Drosophila melanogaster: one gene and its partners. The protein of the gene in region 1 interacts with the protein of each later gene in a pairwise test. Each region holds a gene or a part of one and is shown in the gene's direction. Other genes may lie near its edges. The genes, in order: Fer3HCH, azot, Crk and Urm1.

The links.
Region 2: the proteins of Fer3HCH (region 1) and azot interact in a two-hybrid assay, tested with the Drosophila melanogaster proteins (one large-scale study listed by BioGRID).
Region 3: the proteins of Fer3HCH (region 1) and Crk interact in a two-hybrid assay, tested with the Drosophila melanogaster proteins (one large-scale study listed by BioGRID).
Region 4: the proteins of Fer3HCH (region 1) and Urm1 interact in a two-hybrid assay, tested with the Drosophila melanogaster proteins (one large-scale study listed by BioGRID).

Annotation. Positions count from the first base shown.
Region 1 is NC_004354.4:13,105,557-13,110,666, reverse strand, and holds Fer3HCH (ferritin 3 heavy chain homologue), read left to right. Parts: upstream 1-2,472; 5' UTR 2,473-2,570; coding exon 2,571-2,705; intron 2,706-2,767; coding exon 2,768-3,193; 3' UTR 3,194-3,285; downstream 3,286-5,110.
Region 2 is NT_033778.4:7,947,285-7,951,879, forward strand, and holds azot (ahuizotl), read left to right. Parts: upstream 1-2,554; 5' UTR 2,555-2,604; coding exon 2,605-3,051; 3' UTR 3,052-3,181; downstream 3,182-4,595. Other genes in the region: CG14764 (uncharacterized protein), read right to left, coding at 321-1,236; CG30378 (uncharacterized protein), read left to right, coding at 3,219-3,665.
Region 3 is NC_004353.4:208,070-214,968, forward strand, and holds Crk (Crk oncogene), read left to right. Parts: upstream 1-2,154; 5' UTR 2,155-2,293; exon of another isoform or gene 2,294-2,368; 5' UTR 2,369-2,385; coding exon 2,386-2,417; intron 2,418-2,488; coding exon 2,489-2,611; intron 2,612-3,520; coding exon 3,521-3,725; intron 3,726-3,784; coding exon 3,785-3,913; intron 3,914-4,045; coding exon of another isoform or gene 4,046-4,111; exon of another isoform or gene 4,112-4,205; intron 4,206-4,558; coding exon 4,559-4,660; intron 4,661-4,721; coding exon 4,722-4,946; 3' UTR 4,947-5,096; downstream 5,097-6,899. UniProt on the Drosophila melanogaster protein: Adapter protein which interacts with C-terminal portion of mbc, homolog of human DOCK180. May play a role in cellular processes throughout development.
Region 4 is NT_037436.4:7,638,164-7,643,096, reverse strand, and holds Urm1 (Ubiquitin-related modifier 1), read left to right. Parts: upstream 1-2,650; 5' UTR 2,651-2,655; coding exon 2,656-2,693; intron 2,694-2,759; coding exon 2,760-2,827; intron 2,828-2,890; coding exon 2,891-2,972; intron 2,973-3,032; coding exon 3,033-3,081; intron 3,082-3,137; coding exon 3,138-3,206; 3' UTR 3,207-3,286; downstream 3,287-4,933. Other genes in the region: CG7506 (uncharacterized protein), read left to right, coding at 1,514-2,011, 2,070-2,282; Pura (Puratrophin-1-like), read right to left, coding at 4,060-4,256, 4,530-4,933.

The DNA of each region.
Region 1 (5,110 bases):
ATCTCTCTGAAAACATACGTTTTGTTCCAGATGCAGCATTCAAGCAACATGCAATACTAAAAACTAGAACGTATGGATATTCGAAGGATTAGATCCAAAATGAAAACCTCTTCACTTCCTGGGCACAACACGTGTTCCCCATAATGAGACTTCTAGTTTCCCCTTAGAAACCGCCCAATCAACAAGTTATACTTTCCAAGCGGTCACTGTAATTAGCACCGAACATTTGTTTCACATGTTGCTTAAAGTGCAATGACCCATTCCACAATGCCTATAAATGACCAATTCGATTTTGCATTGATTTTCGAACAGTTTTTATGTACATATATATTACTTCGATTTGAATTGTTCCGCCAACCCTTTGAATTTTATTTACACTAGTCTTATGCCTTGTGGAAAGTTCTCAAATTTTCCCGCACTCATTTCCCCGTTTAACGATCGTATTTCACAGTTTTGCATGCACTGCGACTGACTGTAAATTCCAGACGATCGGGTGCTTGTAAATTAAAATTTAAATAAATAAACGCATTGGAAATTATGACCAGCAGCAAAAGTAAATGAATGTTAACTGATACACCGTTCGTATGTATTGTAAATTATTCGTATGTTGGCGACGGCGATCGAAGCCACAATTTATTGAATTGAACAATGTGCGCAAAGAAATACGTGATATTCTGAAATAGTCGAGACGGGAATACCCCTTAAGATGTAATAGATATTTTAGCAGCTTATATTTATACCAAAATTAAGATGGTACACATTTATAACACTTAATTATATACATACAATTGAATATTTTTTTAATATATAGTTTAATTTTTGGAACAAGTTTGTATGCTCTTTGAAAGAGTATCATGCCGACAATAGCTCAAATCGATTAAATATTTTCGTATGCCGTACGCTATTTTCGACCTCATGTTCAGCAAATTATGTTGGATTTTGTTTTTTTTTTTTTACCTCATATGCTGACGTTTGAGTTTTGTGTTAACACGTCGAATGTATATAAAAATTTTTTTGTGACTCCGCAGCTTAATTTAATGTTAATAATTTGTTGCACGTTTTTATGACACTGCAAACTGGATTGTTGCCATTATTTTGGAGGTGATGTAAATGTGTCGCTGAAGCTGTCACACTTGTCCAAATTAAAATCTTGTTGGCATTACGGGAGTGGAATTTGAAATTTAACTGAGTTCCGATGTGGATTTTGTTGAAATTCAATATGCTTAAGTAATTATAGAACTTTAATGCCTGTAAAATCTTCTACAAAATTCTAGAAATTTTTCTGTGTTCAAAAGCCTTTCCATTTGACCCTTAAATATTGAATAAGATAATAATTTTCATTTTTATTGCGACTGTTGCATAATGAACTAAACATGTTAATTGCCTCTATAAACACACAAGATCATATGTCATCGTTCACTTAATAAGTGTATATATTATTTAATCACAATCATAGGGAAAATTGTTTCATAATGCTTGAAAAAAAAAAACGTAAAGACTCATCTAAAAATGTTTGCTATTTTTTATTTGGGTTGTTATTGTCCAGTTCAACGATGATTTGCATAACTCCTATGTGTTTTTTTTCTCGGTTCGTTTTCCTGTGTGTCGGTGAAAATGAACCATTTATATCTTTATTATTGCCTTTTTATGGGGCGCACATGGCTTCAAGAGTCACCATTGCTTTGTTGGTTTTTTAAATGTGCGTAATGAGTGGATGTTTGTAGTAAAGTGCGAGTAGTTTTGACCACCTGGATGTTTATAGGAAATGTTTGGAAACCTCGGCTTGGGAGATCTTTACATTTTCAATACCCTAAACCTGTAAGACGCGTTGAACTCGCCTACGAAAGCATTTCATTTGAAATACAAAATATAATATTATGTTTTCTATCCTTTAATAAATTAAATTTCTTATTTTAACTTGCATTGGCTGTCGCAATTTTCTGTATCAGCAATATTTTGGGAAAAGCGTTCAAATACCCTATGAGAAAGGGTATAACACGATTATACAAAACTCGGACAAAAGTCGTCTTCCATTCACTTAATAAAAGACAATAACTGCGTTTACTTAGTGTGTCCGTGTTCGTGTGTACTTGTTGAAGTTAAAGCAAACATATCTGGACACAGATATTTAACTATATATGTACATATATACATATGTATCTGTATCTATAAGCTATACGTACGAACGTATATAGATGCGAACAAACCGAGTGAGAGATTGTGTACACACTATTGCTAAGTGGAAGTTAAGTGAAATCAGAGCCGGCAGCACTTTGAACTCCAACCCGTTGTTTTTTGGCCGTCCGAACGGTGGATCAACACCTCCTCCAGATCGCGAGATCGGAGATCGATGCGGAGATGTGAAGATCTGGATATTTGGAGATGAGATCAATGGACGAACTTAGATGGATCGTATCCGATCCATCGACACCTGTCCGAACCGACCCAGTTGCCTTTTAGACACACTGTTTGTGTTTTGACTTTCAATTCCAAATTGTATAGGTTTCTAAATTTTCAAAAACAAAAAAAAAAAAAAAAGATAGAAAAAAACTCAAAAAGAAGCAAAAGACATGGCGTGGTGCTTCCGCGACATTCGGCGCCACATGTGCATGCTGGTGCGTCAGAACTTCGCCAAAAGTTGCGAGAAGAAGCTAAACGATCAGATCAACATGGAGTTGAAGGCATCCCACCAGTATCTGGCCATGGTAAGGTTCCGCAGTCAATAGGGAATATATATATATGCATATAGTACGTTCAATACACGTAGGCCTACCATTTCGATCGCTCCGATATCAGTTCACCCGGAATGCATCGATTCTTCCTAAAGGCGAGCGTCGAGGAGCGGGAGCACGCGGAGAAGATCATGACGTACATGAACAAGCGTGGTGGTCTAATCATTTTGAGCAGTGTACCACAGCCGTTGCCCTGTTTCGCCAGCACCTTGGATGCACTAAAGCACGCAATGAAAATGGAACTGGAGGTCAATAAGCATCTGCTCGATTTGCACGCCCTGGCTGGCAAGGAAGCGGATCCGAATCTCTGCGATTTCATCGAGGCCAATTTCCTGCAGGAGCAAGTGGATGGCCAGAAGATTCTGGCCGACTATATTAGCCAATTGGAGAAGGCACAAAACCAGGTGGGCGAATTCCTGTTCGACAAGTATATGGGCAGCGGCATGCATCCTGCGAAATGAATACCTCAAAATGGACAACCATCCGATGAAGAATACGTATTATAATTGGCAAACCCATGTGTGTTCAGTAAAGATTCGTTTTTTGGCCGATCAATTGTTTTTTTTTTTTTTTTTTTGCTGCCACATTATCAAGTGGCTGGCGTAAAACTAACTCTATAAATATACTCGCTTATCGGCTCCAAGAGTTGCGCAAGATTCTAATTGAAATCGACACCGAAACTGAGTCCAAAAACAAAGCTTCACGAAATCAACAGCTAAACCCATCTGATAACCCTTTAGTTGGACCACAGTGTTGATGGTATTGGATAGTAACTCATCTGCTTTATCCAGTTCTGTAAATACGTTTCTAATCAAATGACACAATATTTCTGTTATATATATGATAACAGTTGATAATCTCGAATCTATAAAGATAAAAGTTAAAAGAAGCCTGACATTTAACTACGCTTGTTCTACCCATTATATAATAAAACACTTGGAACTTGATGATGAAGCAGTTGGTCTATATGATAAGCATTTGTGACGTATTAATAGGTTATCTATATCTATATAGATTGAGATCGTGAAAGTCGGCAAGACACGACAAATATAGTAACTCATTCATTTAGTTACATAGAATATAATATGAAATAAGTACAGAATTGCGAAACTTCGTTCTAAATCAAATTAAATTTTCCCTGATCTAATTTCCGAAATCATGAACCCCTCTGGAAGTTTGTGGGGGCATTCCCACATTGACCAACAAACTCATCCAGATCGTAGGGATCGTTCATTCAGAACTGAATGCTGAACTGAATGGTAAGATCTTGGCGGGGCTTTAATTGAAAAGCGCGTCGCATTTCCGGTCTAAAGTCTGAGGTTCGGAGGCATTTATACGAAGGCAGACTGTACATACATACAGTGCGATACAGATGCGGCCCCAATAAATTGCCATAAGCTGCGGACTAGACCAGACCAGACGAGATGATCTGTAGTAGTAGTAATCCTCCCCCGGCGGGCGGGCGTTAGAAAAACTCGGTGTCTGGTCGACGGCGTACTTGTCCCAATTAAGATTTCTGTCCAATCCAATACAATTTGCAGCTGGAAATGTGAAAAGCCTAGAGAGACGAGATTGCCAGCTGCCCATATGCTATATATATATATATCTGTATATATGTACCTGATCCGTATGCCATAACATATGTCTCTGTATGTCACTTGTGACGATGCAAAGGTGTCGCCTTTTAGATCTATCAATATAAGCCCTAGTTTAGATCTTAAAGATCTTAATGACTTGCATTATAAATCGTTTAATTTTGAATTGAGTCTTAAGTTACACCCTTGTACACTTATGTGGATAGCATGTGTATTATTATATCGTCTTTTTAGTTACTAAATCACATCAATTTTGAGTGGAGGTAATGCTGTTAGACATTACTCGAGTTATCGATACACCCTGAGAGCCGTTCATTTGTGCTATAAAAACAACGAACGTGTAATTAAAAGCCACTTGCGATTCGATTGATAATTGAAACAATTACCGTGGGGTAACCAATAGCCGATCCGTTGTTAATTTAAATAATTGATTTTCAATGCGATTCCGTGACGTCTTCAATCGAATGACAAAATTTCAATTGTAAATAAGAACTTGTAAGCCGAAAGTAATTTGTTGCAAAAAGATACATTGCCAAAGTAATAGGAAAATATCTGATAGAACAACAAAATTGCGTACTAAACTCGTTTTGAGAGCATCTAATAGAATAAAATGATTAAATAATTCAATTGCAATTAAATAGTGTAGCAATTGAATCATTTATAATGGTACCGGCAGTTCAACAACTAATTGATCACTTAAATTGAATGGCTGAGTTAATGAATCAAGTCAAGCTTAAAACTAAAATCAATCAGTAAAAACTTGCAGAATGTTCAGTTTTCGGT
Region 2 (4,595 bases), on another chromosome or scaffold:
TACTTAGTTTGGGAAATGCCGGTCGAATAAAAATGAATTGTTCGTTAAGAAAGGCAATGTCACTTTTGCCATCAATCCCAATTCAGGTGGTAATTACATAAATTTCCCCGATGTGAGTGCCATCAACGGAATGCCGTGCAAATGACAGTTATTAGTACACGAGCCTAGCCCCGAAGGAGAGCTTGGGGGTTGGAGGTTTGAACGTACGTTTGATTGATTTATATTGGCGTCAGGCAGTGACTGAGGAACATTTCTAATGACAGTTTTACATATCCCTATGACGCCACCACCACCACCACCACCCATCCCACCCGACTCACCGATCGGATCGATGCACTCGAGGGTGAGGCAGCACTTCAGCCAGGGAAGCATGATCTTCTCGGCCACCAAGGAGCTGTCCGAGAAGAAGACAGCATCCAGGTCGACCATCCGAAGAAAGTTAAACTCCTCAGCTTTCGACTCAAAGTAGTCGAACATTTTTGGATGCGTCAGAGAGGATACCGCCGTCGCTGTGTTCCATCCGAGCACTCCAGCGGACTTGACTGCAGATTTTCCCACTCCTGGATTCATAACGATGCTCTGCAGACTTCGCAGCTGGGCGGAACCTCCGCGCACGCGCATGCTGTTTTCCAAGAAGAGAACCGATCGGGCACGCATAAGACCGTCCTTAATTACAATGGGCCGGTAGGCGTGCGTCCGCTGATCGGCGACGAAGGAGGGAAACTCCGACAGATCATAGGTGATCACCGAGCATCGGCTGTTATTACAGTAGGCGCCCAAATCCCGTAGTTGCTCCTCGGAAACGCCCAAATCGTAGATTAGCAGGTACTCGCTGGGAAGCTTGGCGGCAATATTCTGGGCCAGCAGGATGGCCGATGCGGCCTGCCCCTCCAGCACATAGCTGACGATTGTGAAGTTGCTCTTTGTACCGTTGTACGGCGTCGTGATCCGCTTCCGCTGCCCCTTTTGATCTCCTGCCTGACTACCGAAGGTAACAGCATCCTGTGGACGCCGCAGACCTCGCAGTTCGCTGAGCTCCAGTTCCGCTTTTGTAGCCGGCGCTGAAAAATCTGTCTTTGGCAGTTGCTGACCTGGTGAACCGATGTCCACCACATTTTGCTGATCCAGCTGCTGCTGTTGGCCTGTAGCTTCATTTGACGAGGTGAAGCCCAGAAGAAGCAAATACTTTGGGTCTATTTCGAGCTTTTTGCGTTCCAAGCCAACGCGGAGGTTTTCCTGCAAGAAAAAAAATTAAATTTGCAATAAATGAATATTTTTGGTTTATCCAAGAAATAAACAAGAGATTTATTATTTAAGTTTTGACATACGGTTCCCGAACCCCACTCTTAGAAAATTATTTATGTCGGGCCAGGCGGCGTTAATGGTCAAAAAATATGGCCAGAATTTGCCTCGTCATAGGAACAATTCCGAAACACACATGTGAGATATGTTTCCATTATGGCCCTCTAGCACACTTCCTCTGTTTCGCCGAAACTAGCCCAAACAAATACCCAAACACAACCAAAAATCAAATGAGCCGCACAATGGAACCCTCTCGTGCCGATGTCAAATTCTTGTCTATTATTTGCTTAGACTGTGGCCAGAGTAAAGCGTGCCGCATTCTCTGCCCACCCCCCCGGGCACTACCACTCCTCCGGCAGCCAAAAACCGGTGTCAGGTGTGTCCCACTGCGGTCAGGTGAAAGGGCCGAGGGGGAGAAGCACTGGAATTAACCTGCGGCAAAAAGGCAGCCGCCAAAGTTGCAGGCTAGGCGCCAAACCCAAATCGCATGACAACCTTTCTGTGCCGATAGCAACCACTACACTTGTATGGCAGTACACTCAAAACACTCTTGTTAAGTATGAATAGTATGGTATGCTGATTCATAGATAGATTATTTAATGTATAGCAAAACTTACGAATAAGTTTAAGCAATCAAGAACAAAATCTTACATTTACATTTTTATACCAGTTACTCGTGAAGCTAAAGGAGTTATTCATCCAGATCACTAGTCGATCTGGATAAGCCCGTCTGTCCTTCCGTCTGCCTGTCCGTCCGTATGAACGTCGAGATCTCGGGAACTATAAAAGTTCACTAATGTTGTTTTCATTCTACACAAATATTTTGGCGTTGCAAACTTCTGTTGAGTTCTTGTATTTCGAATAGCGAAAAGATGAGCCTTTTTTTTCTTGAGTGTGCGTTGGAACAATGACGGTGATTGTACACATTCTTACTCCTTAACTTTCCTCGAACGGCACTCTCCTTCTGTTTTGTTAACGAACAACGAAAGATACTAGCTGACGTCCGTTGCTGGGTCGCAATTGAAACCGATCAGCTGCAAGGCCTCCTCGCCCAAGGACATTCGAATCAATCAACTCTGTCCGTGCGGCACTGCGCTTATATAACGAGCATATTGATTTTGTGCCATTCGGTGTTGTGCACTGTGCAGCGCAGTGAAGCCACCGGGGGATGTTCATTTTACCATTTTTCACATTTCACTGAGTTCAATGTCAGGACCTTGTTTCATCCAAACATCAGTTGACACCTACATATAAACAGAGCAATATACAACTCTTCCGAGAAACTATAATATACCAGTTAAGATGGAGGATATTTCGCATGAGGAGCGAGTCCTGATCCTTGACACTTTCCGTATTTTGGACAAGGACAACGAGGGCGCCATAACATCTAAAGAGATGGCGGTGGTGATTCGCGCCCTGGGTCGCCAGCCCAACGACGCCGAGGTTCAGTCCATGATCAATGAGGTGGATTCGGAGGGAAACGGATCCATCGTGGCTCCGGAGTTCTGCAATGTGATTCTGCGCAAGATGCGCGACACCAACCATGAGGACGAGCTGCGCGAAGCTTTCCGAATTTTCGACAAGGATAACAATGGCTACATTACCACCACCGAGCTAAAAAATGTGTTCACCGCGCTGGGCGTAAAGCTCAGCGACGACGAGTTGGAAGAAATGATACGCGAGTACGACTTGGATCAGGACAATCACTTGAATTACGAGGAGTTCGTCAACATGATGACAATGCGATAGCCTCCATGTGAGTACTCGTATAGAAGGCTGGCTTGATTTCTATCCAACAAAAAGTCGGCGTTCTGTCTGTGTTCAGTTTAAATTCTTTATGTTCACACTGACAAAAGCACATGAAACATTAGTCCACTACAAAAAAAAAAAAAAAAAAGAAAATCACTTTGGAAACAATGAGCGGCAGTTTGACCGAGGCCCAGATTGAAGAAATTCGAGAAGCATTCAGTTTGTATGACAAGGAACGGTCCGGATGGGTTTCCGTCCAACAGCTCGGCGGAGTAATGCGGGCCCTTGGAGAGAGTCTCACCGAGGCGGAGATCTACGACCTGGCCAACGAAAGTAACGCCGACTTCGGTGGGCAGGTGCAGTTCAAGGACTTTCTATACGTGATGAGCAAACGGCTGGAGGAGCAGAACAGTCTGGTGTGCCTAAAGCAGGCCTTCAAAATCTTCGATCGCAGCGAAGTGAACAGCTTTACAATTAACGAGATCAGAATGGTGATGACCAACCTGGGCGAGAAGATGTCCGAAGAGGACTTGCGCGAGTTGTTCCAGGACATTGATCAGGACAAAGATGGAAAGATCTCCTTCAACGAATTTGTTACCGCCATGCGAAGCTAGGAATTCCAAATTGAAGGCACAAATTAACCACGAACCCCTTTCGAAAGAGCCCAACCCAGTCGCGTTTTCCCTACGCCTAGGCGGCACCACTTGAAATTCCCAACCAAATTCCTTTGGCTTACTCAACGCAGCGCCAGAAAGTCGGCTGTTAAACCTTGTCCGAAGAAGTCCACTTGTGTGTGTCCATGTGGCACGGCGCGTGACTCCGAAACGGTCGCATGTGCCTAATGGCCGCTGGGGAGTGCCAGGATATTCGAAAGGGTGATGGCGATGGGCCAGAGCAATCATAAAATCGAGCCACGCTGATTACGATGCCAATTTAAATATTTGACCATGTGCTGGACTGGACTGGACTCGCTGGTTTCCTTTTTGTCTGACCAAGTTTACAAGTGGCATGATTTTGGGTTCAAGTCTTATCGCACCTTGCTCTTTTTAAATTACCTTGTTATCTATTGGCACCCTTAATACGCATACAACATACATTGTCCATGACTCATTCGGCAATTATAAAAGCCCACCTTGGCAATAAAATATTGTCAAGTGACTAGTGACTAATAATTTGTAAGGGGGAAAGGTTTATAAATTTGAATGCGCCTTCGTGCATGGATTTCAGAACATATATAAAAGAAAATCATGTATAGAGAAAGAATAATTGATGCCGAATTCGGAGAAATATTTCGGGGCTGGGATGCATTACTCGGAAAGATTTCACGATTTCGTCATTGCTAATCCTATTTGTAAAAGGTAAATACCCACAATAACCCCAAAAATACTTAATTATGCTTAATTGAAAAATTAAAACATTAGCTTCTTTATTTTACATCCACTTACAGTTAACCCACGGACTTATTAATGTTAATCAAAAGTCGAGAGGTCATTCCGACGTTCATATGTTTCTAGCGCTTCATATGGATAATTTAAATAGGTTAT
Region 3 (6,899 bases), on another chromosome or scaffold:
CAATTGTTGAGTGCTTGTGTCCGCACTTCGTGCCTCAAGATATGAACAAAGCAAAGACACTAGAATAATTCTATTGTCTTTGATATTACTTTTGCAATTTAATTTAATTGCATATTTAATTATTTAGTATATTTATTAAATCATTTGACTTAATATGATGTAACATTAACATTAAAAGTGTTTCAAAAAAAATATTTCGCTTTTAAAAAATTGTCAGATGAGAGACAAATTAGAATTAAACATAAATATAAATGTGTAAACGGTAGCTAATTCGAGCGGCGATTTTAACAAACAAATTTAAAAAGCTTTAAAATTATAATATTCAGGGCGCGAATTTTTAAAAATTTTTTTATTTTATCATATTGCTAGGAAATTGGCAAAAACTACCCTAATATGTACCATGTAAATTCGTTTCTTCGATCAGAATTGATTTCGGCCCGAAAATCGTCTTCTAGCACAACACGCACACTTATACGCGTTCTCGTCTCTTGTTTTTACTCACACAAGCAAGCAAATTATATTTTTAGATTTCTTACGCTCTCAGCGGGAGTGAGCCGAAAGAGAGTAATTTTGGCCGTCACCAAAAAAGTGGCTGCATAGTGCCAAACCAATGTATGGCCGTTACGCATCTTGTTATTCTAGTGTCTTTGGTTTGGCACTATGCAGCCACTTTTTTGGTGACGGCCAAAATTGCTCTCTGTCCGCTAGCTTACGCTGAGAGCGTAAGAAATCTTAAAATAGAACTTGCTTGCTTGAGTAAGTAAAAACAAGAGACGAGAACGCGTATATGTGTGCGTGTTGTTCTAGAAGACGATTTCGGGCCGAAATCAATTCTGACCGAAGAAACGAGTTTACATATTTGATGAAATTGCGCGCTGTTAAAAATATCAAATTGAAATATAACAAAAAAAAAAAAAAAAAAAAAAACTGGAACTGAAAAACAACTAAATCTAATGTGCATTTTAAATAACAAAAATTTTACATACATCATATTAAGTCAAATGACTTGAGAAATATACTAAATATATACGGAAATTATTATAACAACTTTAATTTAAAACATACATTTTCCAAAAAGAAGACATTACATTGAGAAATAAATATTTCATAAAAATAATACGAAGTAGAAAACAAAAATATATAAAAATAAAAAAAATATGTAAACTGTTTATTGCAAAAGTCATATCATAGACACTAGAATTATTCTAGTGTCTTTGCTTTGGTCATATCTTGAGCATGCAAAGGAATGGCTATTACAATATAATTTGATTAGTATGCTACGCAAACCTCTAGCATTTTGATAGGAAAAAGATTCGGACAAAGATTCGTTGTCAGTTTTTTGAAGAAGATGAAGAGGCGGATGGTGCAGTGGTCTGGCCATGTGAGGAAAGTTTATTTCCCACGGGCCCCTTTTTCCTATTTTTGATCCTAGCTTCAAAATCTTATATATCTTATGTCCATAGCGTAAGATAAGTTAAATTTTTCCACTTTTATATTACTTTTATATTATCGACTTTTGTTTTGTCTTGCATATAAGACCATACATCAGATGATTTTTGATCAGGTGAAAACCGAGAAACGAAAGTTTGTTTCTTAAGTGGAATCACCGCGAGTGGTTTTGGCCCTGCAGATTGTATTTCTGAAGTGCCAACTTGTGCCGGGAGTCCGGACTCAATGTTCCCTTGTGGTGGTAAACTAATCGGGACAGGTAGAATCACTGGTTAAGAAACCAGTGCAGACAATTCGGAATCTTTAGCAATCCCAGGGTGGGCTCCCTCCACAGCGGATTGATCGGATTGCTCCAAATCTTATTTAGCTGCCGATCTTAGCAACATATGCGGATTTTCTACGATTGACAGCTGATCAGTTGTGGAGTCAAAATAACATGTCAACCAGATATATTCGTATTCCTAATATTCCTGTAAATATCCTTGAATTGAACAGAAGAACAAATATATCGGTTTTACTTAAAAATTAGAATATCAAATTGATATGCATTGATCACGGTTTTACATTTAGATTTTAAAAGCTGACAGTACGTCCTAAAGGGGTTTACCACCACAGAGCAGTTGCTCGAAGGAGTTCTTTTCAATCGAATGTGCCCTGTGCAAGTGCCGCATTACGGTTCTACGGTACAATATTGGCATAAAACTTCCAAGTGGAAATAATCGATCAAACATTATCGATAGTGTTTCTATGTGTGGCCCAGCCAGATACACATATAAAAGGCAAATGTTTTAAGGCCAGAAATTCGAAAATGAAATCACTGAAGAATTCTGGTATATAATAGGCTGTATGCTATATTTGCATTATATCACATAATTTCTATTTATTTAATCTGGACGGAATTTGTTGTAATTTGTCTAAGATAAACCTTAAACGGAAATGGATACATTTGACGTTTCTGATAGGAACAGGTAATTTAAGATCAAGTGAAGATTAAACCAAAAACTATCAATTGTTTTAACATCAAAATGTGTTCTTAAAGCTGGTACTTTGGTCCCATGTCTAGACAGGATGCTACTGAAGTTTTGATGAACGAACGCGAGCGGGGAGTGTTTTTAGTCCGTGATAGTAACTCGATAGCAGGGGATTATGTACTTTGTGTAAGGTAAGTAAACAAAATTAATACATTCAGACTTTGATTGTGTACTTATCGTTTCATTTCTGTTAGCTAATTTTTATTTTAAAAATTAAACTAAAAATTGTGTATAGTGAGAAATACTTAATGTCAGCCTTTCTTAATCGCAGCTTACCATAAAGGTTTATATAGAAATTCCTGTTTCCATTTTAAGCATGTATACGTGTTTTATAGATGTACTTTAAACATTTATCTGTAATTTTTAAATATAAACAAATTTCTTACATTAAAAAAGGATATTCTTTTTAATAGACCTGGGTGAAAAAAGTAATAAGAAAGAGAAATCTAAAAATTTTTATCAATTTTGTGTGTTTCAGTTTTGGGAAACCTTAAAAATTGTGTTTGTTTTATTATTTCTTTCCCAGAAAATTTTTGAAATTTCTCTTTCCCATTCAACTAGCTGAGTAACGGGTTCTCTCTTGTTTTGTTTGATATTTAGATCCAATGGCAAGGGTCTATGGTCAATTTTGTATTTCTTTAATTTAGTATGGAATGTACCTTTAAGGACGATGATAAAATGTCAATGATGATCTCTCATAGCCATTGCAATTTAGTATGTTTTTAATATGTGCGCCATGTATTGACGGGGTAAATAAATTGAAGAATTTAACGACGTAAACAAAAATAATTACGAATTAAAGGAACTCAATTTCTACTGTATGTCTCGCCACGCGGCATTTATTAAAGAATTAGATGAATAAACGTCTCAAGAATATTCTTTTTGATTTTAAAAGTTCTTTATTAATATAAATGTATATACATTAGAATATTAAAAATAGGTTTTCATATTTAAACTTGAAACAAATTTTTGTTTAGTTTTTAAGGATTTTGCGCCTGTTATAAAAGAATTGTTTACTTATAAAGATTTTTATTATTTAGAGAAGATACAAAAGTTAGCAACTACATCATTAACAAAGTTCAACAACAGGATCAAATCGTTTACCGCATTGGGGATCAGTCTTTTGACAATCTACCGAAACTCTTAACTTTTTACACTCTTCATTATTTGGATACAACCCCTTTAAAACGGCCTGCGTGTAGAAGGGTGGAAAAAGTAATAGGAAAGTTCGATTTCGTTGGCAGCGTGAGCATTTACACAATTATTCATTTTTGTAAGTAATTTAATTTTCTTATTTATCAAAGGATCAAGATGATTTACCTTTTCAAAGAGGTGAAGTTTTAACAATAGTTCGAAAAGACGAGGATCAATGGTGGACTGCGCGTAACTCCTCGGGGAAAATTGGTCAAATACCGGTTCCCTATATACAACAGGTGCGTTAAGCAAATATTTGGATTTGTTATCCTTTTTTGTAACGGGTAACCCGTTTTTAATTTCTTTGTTTCCTTATAACGCTGATGTTAAAATACTACACTTGAAATGAATGGTGAATTCGGTAAAACCAGTCGCGTCAATTTTTATGGAATGCAAATAAAACTTTCGATACGGCGACACTAACGCTAGGATATTAATAATGTAAAATCAGAAAGAAACCCGAAAACTAGTGAGACGTATAAGGGTCAATAATGTCAAAGAGTCGCCAGAAGTAAATATGTAAAAATATATGTATGTATGTAAAAAATGTAAATTGAGCTCTTTTCCCCACGCCTATTTTATGACTAGCGGGTATCTGATAGCCGAGAAACTTGTTCAGAAATAATTATTGAGTTCATGTAATAATACCCTTAAATTGTTGCGATTAGATTCTTTAAAGTCTGACTACAATCTCAATACATTATAAAATCCATTACAAAAACCATTTGCATTGAATTAAACTGACAATGGACAAGCTCCATTGCCTTCAATATATTCGTCCGCTTAAATAGAGAAGGCCAAATTGCGAACGACCTTTGATAAATAAGTTTGTTAAAGGCATTGATTTTTAAAAGTTAAATCATTTTCAAATTTGTTCTTTTCAGTATGACGATTATATGGATGAAGATGCTATTGATAAAAACGAACCTTCCATTTCGGGATCTAGCAATGTATTTGAAAGTACTCTTAAAAGGACAGATTTAAATGTAAGTGTTCCAAAAAAGTATTTAAAAAAAAAATAATGTTTTACATTTTAATTTATCGAAGCGAAAACTACCTGCATACGCCCGCGTAAAACAGTCAAGGGTCCCTAACGCATACGATAAGACTGCATTAAAATTGGAAATAGGTGACATTATTAAAGTCACTAAAACAAACATTAATGGGCAATGGGAGGGAGAATTAAATGGAAAAAATGGTCATTTTCCCTTCACGCACGTTGAATTTGTCGATGATTGTGATTTAAGCAAAAACTCCACAGAAATATGCTAAATAGGAAGGAATGGAAGGAATTTCTTTTGATAATTTTGATTTTTGAGCTAATTGTATGATTAATAAGTTGTGCATACCAATTGTTAACATAATCAGAAAATTAAAATCTTATTAAGTAAAATAAAAATAAACGGGTACGAAGGACATAATAAAATTTTTACCGTTTTTTCGTATGATTCTTATACAAAAAAATTATGAATTTGAAAATCGATTTGGTTTTTTTTATGAATTGTGTAACTAAACGGTAGGTGCTACAGAAAACCCTTTGGGCCTTATATTTTTTATACCCGTTACTCGTAGAGTAAAAGGGAATACTACAATAGGTTCGTTGAAAAGTATGTAACAGGTGGAAGAAAGCGCTTCTGACCATATAAAGGCTGTTCAATATACAAAGACCCCAAAAGCCGGATACATCTCCGAGTAACGCCAGAACGCCAGAAGTTTTTTTATCACCCGCAAAGAGGTCCTTATTTGGCCCTTCGACCACCTTCCAAAATTTGATATTTCCAAACGTCCATAATTCGAGGCTAACAGAACCTACCTCTAAGGCACCAACTCTACAAGCTGCCCAAACTAATTTGACGTCGAATCCTTAATCACCGACGCATCACCAACGCAGTATTAAAACTATGACATATACTTTGCAGCATCATATGATTTCATTCATGTCGTTCGTGTGGATTATCACGCAAGACCTATCTTCCTGGAACGTTAAAATAATGTGTATCTTTAGATCAATAGTTAGTTAGTGCTTCTCCTGATACCACGTTCCGAGAGCACCTAGAGTACGCCCACAAAAAGGCCAGCGCTACTACTGGTTCTCTGCCGAGAATGCTTCTAAACACGAGAGGTCCTAAGCAAACCACTAGCTACCACGTTGATAACGGGCGACAAAGCATTTTTGGGCGGCTGAAGGGCGTTAGAGTGGCCGTGGCAAAAAGTTTTTTGGGAAATCGATAGAAAATTACAAGACTAATCAAAATATTTAAAGAATATCAACACACTTTTTCAAAAGTGCGGGCGTGGCAGTTTTGCGCGGTTTGTAGGCGTTAGAGTGGGCGTGGCAACATGGGTCAACGCTGCGCTGCGTCTTTTCTAGATTCTGTATGCTGAATCTCATCCTTCTAGCTTTTATAGTTCCTGTAATCGTGACGTTCATACGGACAGACGGACATGACCAGATCGTCTCGGCTATTGATCCTGATCAGGAATGGCAACATGGGTCAACAAACTTGTGCTGTCTATGTTCCTAGAATCTGTATGCTTCATCTCAACATTTTAGCTTTAATAGTCCAGAATTCGAGGTGTTCATACGGACAGACAGACATAGTCAGATCGACTCGGCTATTGATCCTGATCAAGAATATATATACTTTTTGAGGTCGGAAGCGTTTTTGCCTGTTACATACTTTTCAACAAATCTAGTATACCCTTTAACGGGTATAAAAATGCTCGACACGTTACCACGCAAACTCAATCCGCCAAAAGCTGTAACGCCCACATGTTTAAAATTTTTTTAGATTTTTTGTTCTACTTTCAATTGGCCTTGTAATCTTTAGTAGTCTTCAATATCGGGTATATATAGCCGAAGAACTAGCAAAAAAGAATTCTCTCTTGTTTTTAGTGTTAAAATCTTTATTAAATGTTAAAATAACTTACGTTATTTTTTATTACCAATAGTGTCGGTGAGGAGGCAGAGTAAGTTTTTTTAACCGCATGAATGTGTGAATATCACATGCATTTATATAATCCATGCACATGGAATATACGAGGTGAAGTGTGTTCTGCGGCCAAGTCCTCACAAGCAGTACAAATCCCGTGAGTTTTTTGGACATTAAAATACTTTTACTTAAGTGTATCTTGAAAAATAAATTAATCACAAACTTGTTACTCAACAATTCAACAACTTTGAACATAAGCTATTATTTATGATGATTTTATTTATTTAAAATG
Region 4 (4,933 bases), on another chromosome or scaffold:
GATGTTTGAGTAACAGAAAATGATTAGATCTTAAAAATATGCTGCAATATATGTAGATTGCACTGAATTCCAATATGTTGCTTTTCGCGTTATAGCCTTAAACTCCTTCTTACTTAAAAACCATTTAACTTCCTGTAAAGATTTTTATCTGTGTAATCATAGTCGTGGAATGAATATGATGCATGAAATAACAATAATGAAATGACAACAAAAGGCACGGATAACAAAAGGATTGCCAGCGAGAAAGAGACAGAAGCACGGATGATGGATAGAGAGGCAGATATGGAGCCACATGACTGGGGCAATTCAAAATCAAATGTGATTTTTGGTCACTTTGAAAATTGTTGATTAGTGACGCCTGAATGCAGCCCAATGAAACCGGAGGCCGCTGCATTAAAGCAATTTCAAGATCTCCGCCCGCCTGTCACTCAACTGCCGGAATCGAAAGGGGTACTACCCTGGGAAATGGGTTAGAGGTTGGTCTGGGATTGGTTGGGATGAGTTGGTCAACTGGACATGGCACTGAAAGTGCAACTCAGCCGGGCGTGCACTTGGCACACTAGTCCCAACAATTGATGGGGTAAAAAAAAATAAAATAAAAAATTAAAACACAAAAATGCCAGAGACCTCTGCGTAACCATAACCTCGGTGCGCACGGCTGTGTGTGGGCGATTCCATTTAAACAATTAAAGCAACATAAATTAAAAATGTGGTCAAGCGCCGGTCACCACCAACAGCGACAAATTGCATGTTCTAGTGGTAACTAGAGCCACATCTGCCACGCCCCCACATCAGTGCCATTAATTCGAGCATATTAATTCGTATCCACATGCCACTCTTCCTTGTGTGTTTTTGGTTTTGGCATAATACCGCAAACGGGAAGCTCCCCCACTCACTTTTCTTGTTAATCAATTACAAACTGCAGTACGTACTCAATATTTGCCGAATTACTAGCTCTATTGTTCCGAATTGGTTGGAAAATCATTGGGAAATACAATCGAATTTTTTGGCAGCAATATCCTAAAGTAGGTCAACACTTTGAATAATATTTGCAAACGCCTTTCCTACCGTTTTAAGCGTGAGTGTAAGTGAATTTTAATCGATGTATAAGTGTTAAATAATCAGCTCCTAATTGGTAAGTACAAGTGTAATTATTATTAATTTTTATTTTTGTATTTTTTAAAGAGAATCTTATCTTATAAGATTGTAATATTGGTCGGTTTAATGTAAATTAATTTTAGCTTAGAAATGTTAGAATTTTAGGATTTTAAATTTTTAATATTTGTTTTTAGTATCAATAAGTAAAAATAGTCAGTATCGATTTAAATTTCCGTTGTCAGTGCAATGTTGCCGTTTCCTGTTTCGGTATTCAAAAGGAGAGTTGGTATATTTTGAATAGACGTATCGTTTCTGGATTCTTTTAGCGCCCAAGTGTGGGCCACACTGCAACTCGTGTTATTTAACGTTCGGCAAAAACAGCTGTTTATTTCTACTGAAATAAGTAAATTACACCATGTTAGGCCTGCGAGCGATGCTGCCAAAAGGGAAACACTTTGCTGTTGTCCTGGGAAATGTCAGCCGTCAGATTACCCTGCCCCACAACTGCAGATGCATTACTAGTGCCTCATGGACAAGACCACAGCAGTCACAACCACAGAACTTCCAGCAAAACAGGTGGCTTTCGGTGAAGTCGACGAAAACTGAATCCGACGATGCACTGCAGCGGATCTACTATGGAACTCTTGCGCCACGCATGAAAATGGTCAAGTTCTTTTCGCTGAGCACCAGCTTAGCCGGCTTGGCCGCCCAGCCCATTCTTCTCGAGCAGGGAATGAAAATCGGAGGAACTGGAATGGCCGTATTCCTCTGCACCGTCGGTGGATTCTTCACCTTTGTGACTCCTCTGCTGCTGCACTTTATTACCAAGAAATACGTGACGGAGCTGCACTACAATCCACTAACGGAGGAGTACACGGCCACCACAATATCCCTGCTTCTGCAAAAAATCAAGGTGGGTAGAGCAAATTTAAAAGAGCTTGCCTTCAATGTACATATTATTTACCTTTTAGACTACTTTCCGACCAAATGATGTGGTCGTTCCGGAGGTTCCCGGCATGTTCACCTCTTTTCTGGTCAACAAACGACCTCTGTTTGTGGATCCAGCGCTTTTCGATGATCCCGAGCACTATGTTAAGATAATGGGTTACGACAAACCGATCGATTTCAAACTGGATCTGACTCCGAATCCTGAAAAGTCGAAAACGAGCGAGGAGAAGCAATAAAAAAAACGCTCTTTATGATAACGTGTTTTTTTTAATTTCATAAATTCACAACGAAATGTAAAATGTCTTCTTAGAGCACAGATCATAATATGCTAATGAAAACTTTACCTAGCGTTCCATTGGAATGCCACCTGTTTATGTTTCTCAATGGGAATAATTATAATGCTGAGTCCCCTCGTCGAAGGTGAATGGTAAAGGTAAATTTACGTACAAATTATAATTTCTTTCAAAATGCAATAATTTTTGGAAGTTTAGAGCATGTGGTTGCCAGACTTTTTAGAAATTAGGATTCTATATTTGGTATTATTTTTGAATGGTGGATTTTTTTGAAAAGCTTAGACGCGGTCACACATTTATTTACATCGAACATATGATGGGCACGCCGGAATTAAAAATCATATTAGAATTCAGGTATATAAAGCCTTGTTCGAATTATTATTTCCAATAAATGAGACAATTTGTAATTTAATTTCGTAGTGCAGGGGCGGAGTTACTATTTGGTAACATAAAACGCCGTGAATTGAACTTGGACGGTAAACAAAAATGTATGTTCTAAAAGATGTTTTAAACTTGAGTGAAATCGGTTATGAATTATATATATTTTAAAGGGACTATTGCTAATCTGCTTAAGTGGATGCATGCGAATATTTTAACGGAGCGTCCGGAACTTTTTCTTCAAGGAGATACTGTGTAAGTTTGGCTTAAACTATAAGGGATACATAGTCTATACTTTCTATTGTATGTTTTCAGGCGACCTGGAATTTTAGTACTCATAAATGATACAGACTGGGAATTGCTGGTAAGTAAGAGTACAGAATATGGAATTCTAAAAACTATAATTAACTCAACTTCTAGGGTGAACTGGACTACGAGCTGCAGCCCAACGACAATGTGTTGTTTATATCAACTTTACACGGTGGTTAAAAAACGTTCTGGAATCTAAATTATAGGAGAAAAGTTTATTTTTATACTACAACCCATTAAATTGTATTCAAAAAACAAACAAAAACAGTTTTTGACTGAATCAGAATTACGTCCCTTTACCAGAGGCAAAGGCCCACACGATGGTTCGGGTAGTAAAGTTTTCATCATATCATCTAGAGATTGTAAGCTAGCAGGTTTTCGCTATTTATAAAAGCACAGCATTGAACAAGCACTTGGGAATTGTAGGGAAGTTAAAAATAGAACAATCCAGATGCGGTTTGGCGGGTAATTCGAAGTAAGGACAACACGTTAGTTTTACATTGAAGCAACATTTATTGAATTTAAATTTTCGCTTAAAATTATTTATCGAGTTATTATGAAGTATAGATATATTTTTTTAATGTTCGTTTACGATTATTTTAACTATAGGCACTTAGGTTACATATCAACTAACTGTACGTAATGAAGTTCGATTCAGATATGTTGGGCATCGGCCACGCCCCTTTTTCGGGTGCTGCTCATGGCTCCCATCGATTTCTGTGTGTGTGTGGTGCGGATCGTTCGATTGTGTGGACTAAGAACTAGATATGTATGAAACTTGCTTCGACATTGACACGCTGAATTCAATAATTTCGACTGATTTTTCCGATAAACAAGGCAAAACGAAAAGCAGCGACTATGACAAATTAACGAAAACTAAAAATGTAATAAATAATAAATAACAAAAATAATGAAATAAAATTAGCGATCGAACGTAATACGATGATACTACATGGGATCCGATGAAACCGTTCTGCTAAAGCTATTAATGGGGATTTATACTATATCTAGATGCGATGCTCCAGGAGCTCCTCTATTTGCCGCTTTCCGGACTGGCGGACTCCGCTGCGTGGGCGTAGGATCGATATCGCCGCAGGATTACCGTGGATGCACTCGTCGTTGAAGCTCCGGATGCTCCAGTCGTTGATGTGGACCAACTGCTTCGGCTGCTCTCCGCCGCCGATTGTTCCTGATCCGGGGTAACGCACATGTCCGAGACAATGCCGCTCTCTGAATGGGGGGATATTTACACATATTGGATATTATATTTCGGATTCGAACAGGTGGCGCCAAAGCGCCAACAACATATAACATGGATCTAAAAACATGCAGCACACGGACAGGCACGGATTACGGGTTAGGTTTTGGTGTTTGTGTTGGTGTTGGTGGGGGATTATATACAGTAATACTGGGGTGTTCTTCGAGATTATGTACAGGGATCAACTACTAGCTACGGGATGCATCTGGGGGCCTAGAAGAAGTAGCACAGTTCAAGCTCTATACCCATGGACAGTTGGCTGACAATGGTCGTCGATCGTTTGTGGTTTCGTTTGCTGCTCCTGAATGCGTTTCCGTTGCCATTTCCGTTTCCGGAAGTGTTGCCTCCGTCGGCGGCCGTATCCGCCCCCTTGATTCCACCTCCACTCGGGGATTTGGCCAACTTCAGGGCCTGAGTTTCGTTGATCAGCTCCAAAGTGGCACTGCAGTTGGTGGAACTTGCGCTGTGTGCTCCAGGCAGCTTGCCAAAGTGCAGGCTGTGCCTGCCACCGCCATCATTGTGACCCGAGGAGGAGCCACCGCTGATGGAGGAGCCACTGGTAGTGCTGGTGCCGCTGGACAAGGAGCTCTCTGATATCAGTGAATTGGGACGCCGCATGCTGCCCTTTCCAGGCTCAGAGTGTCGCAGT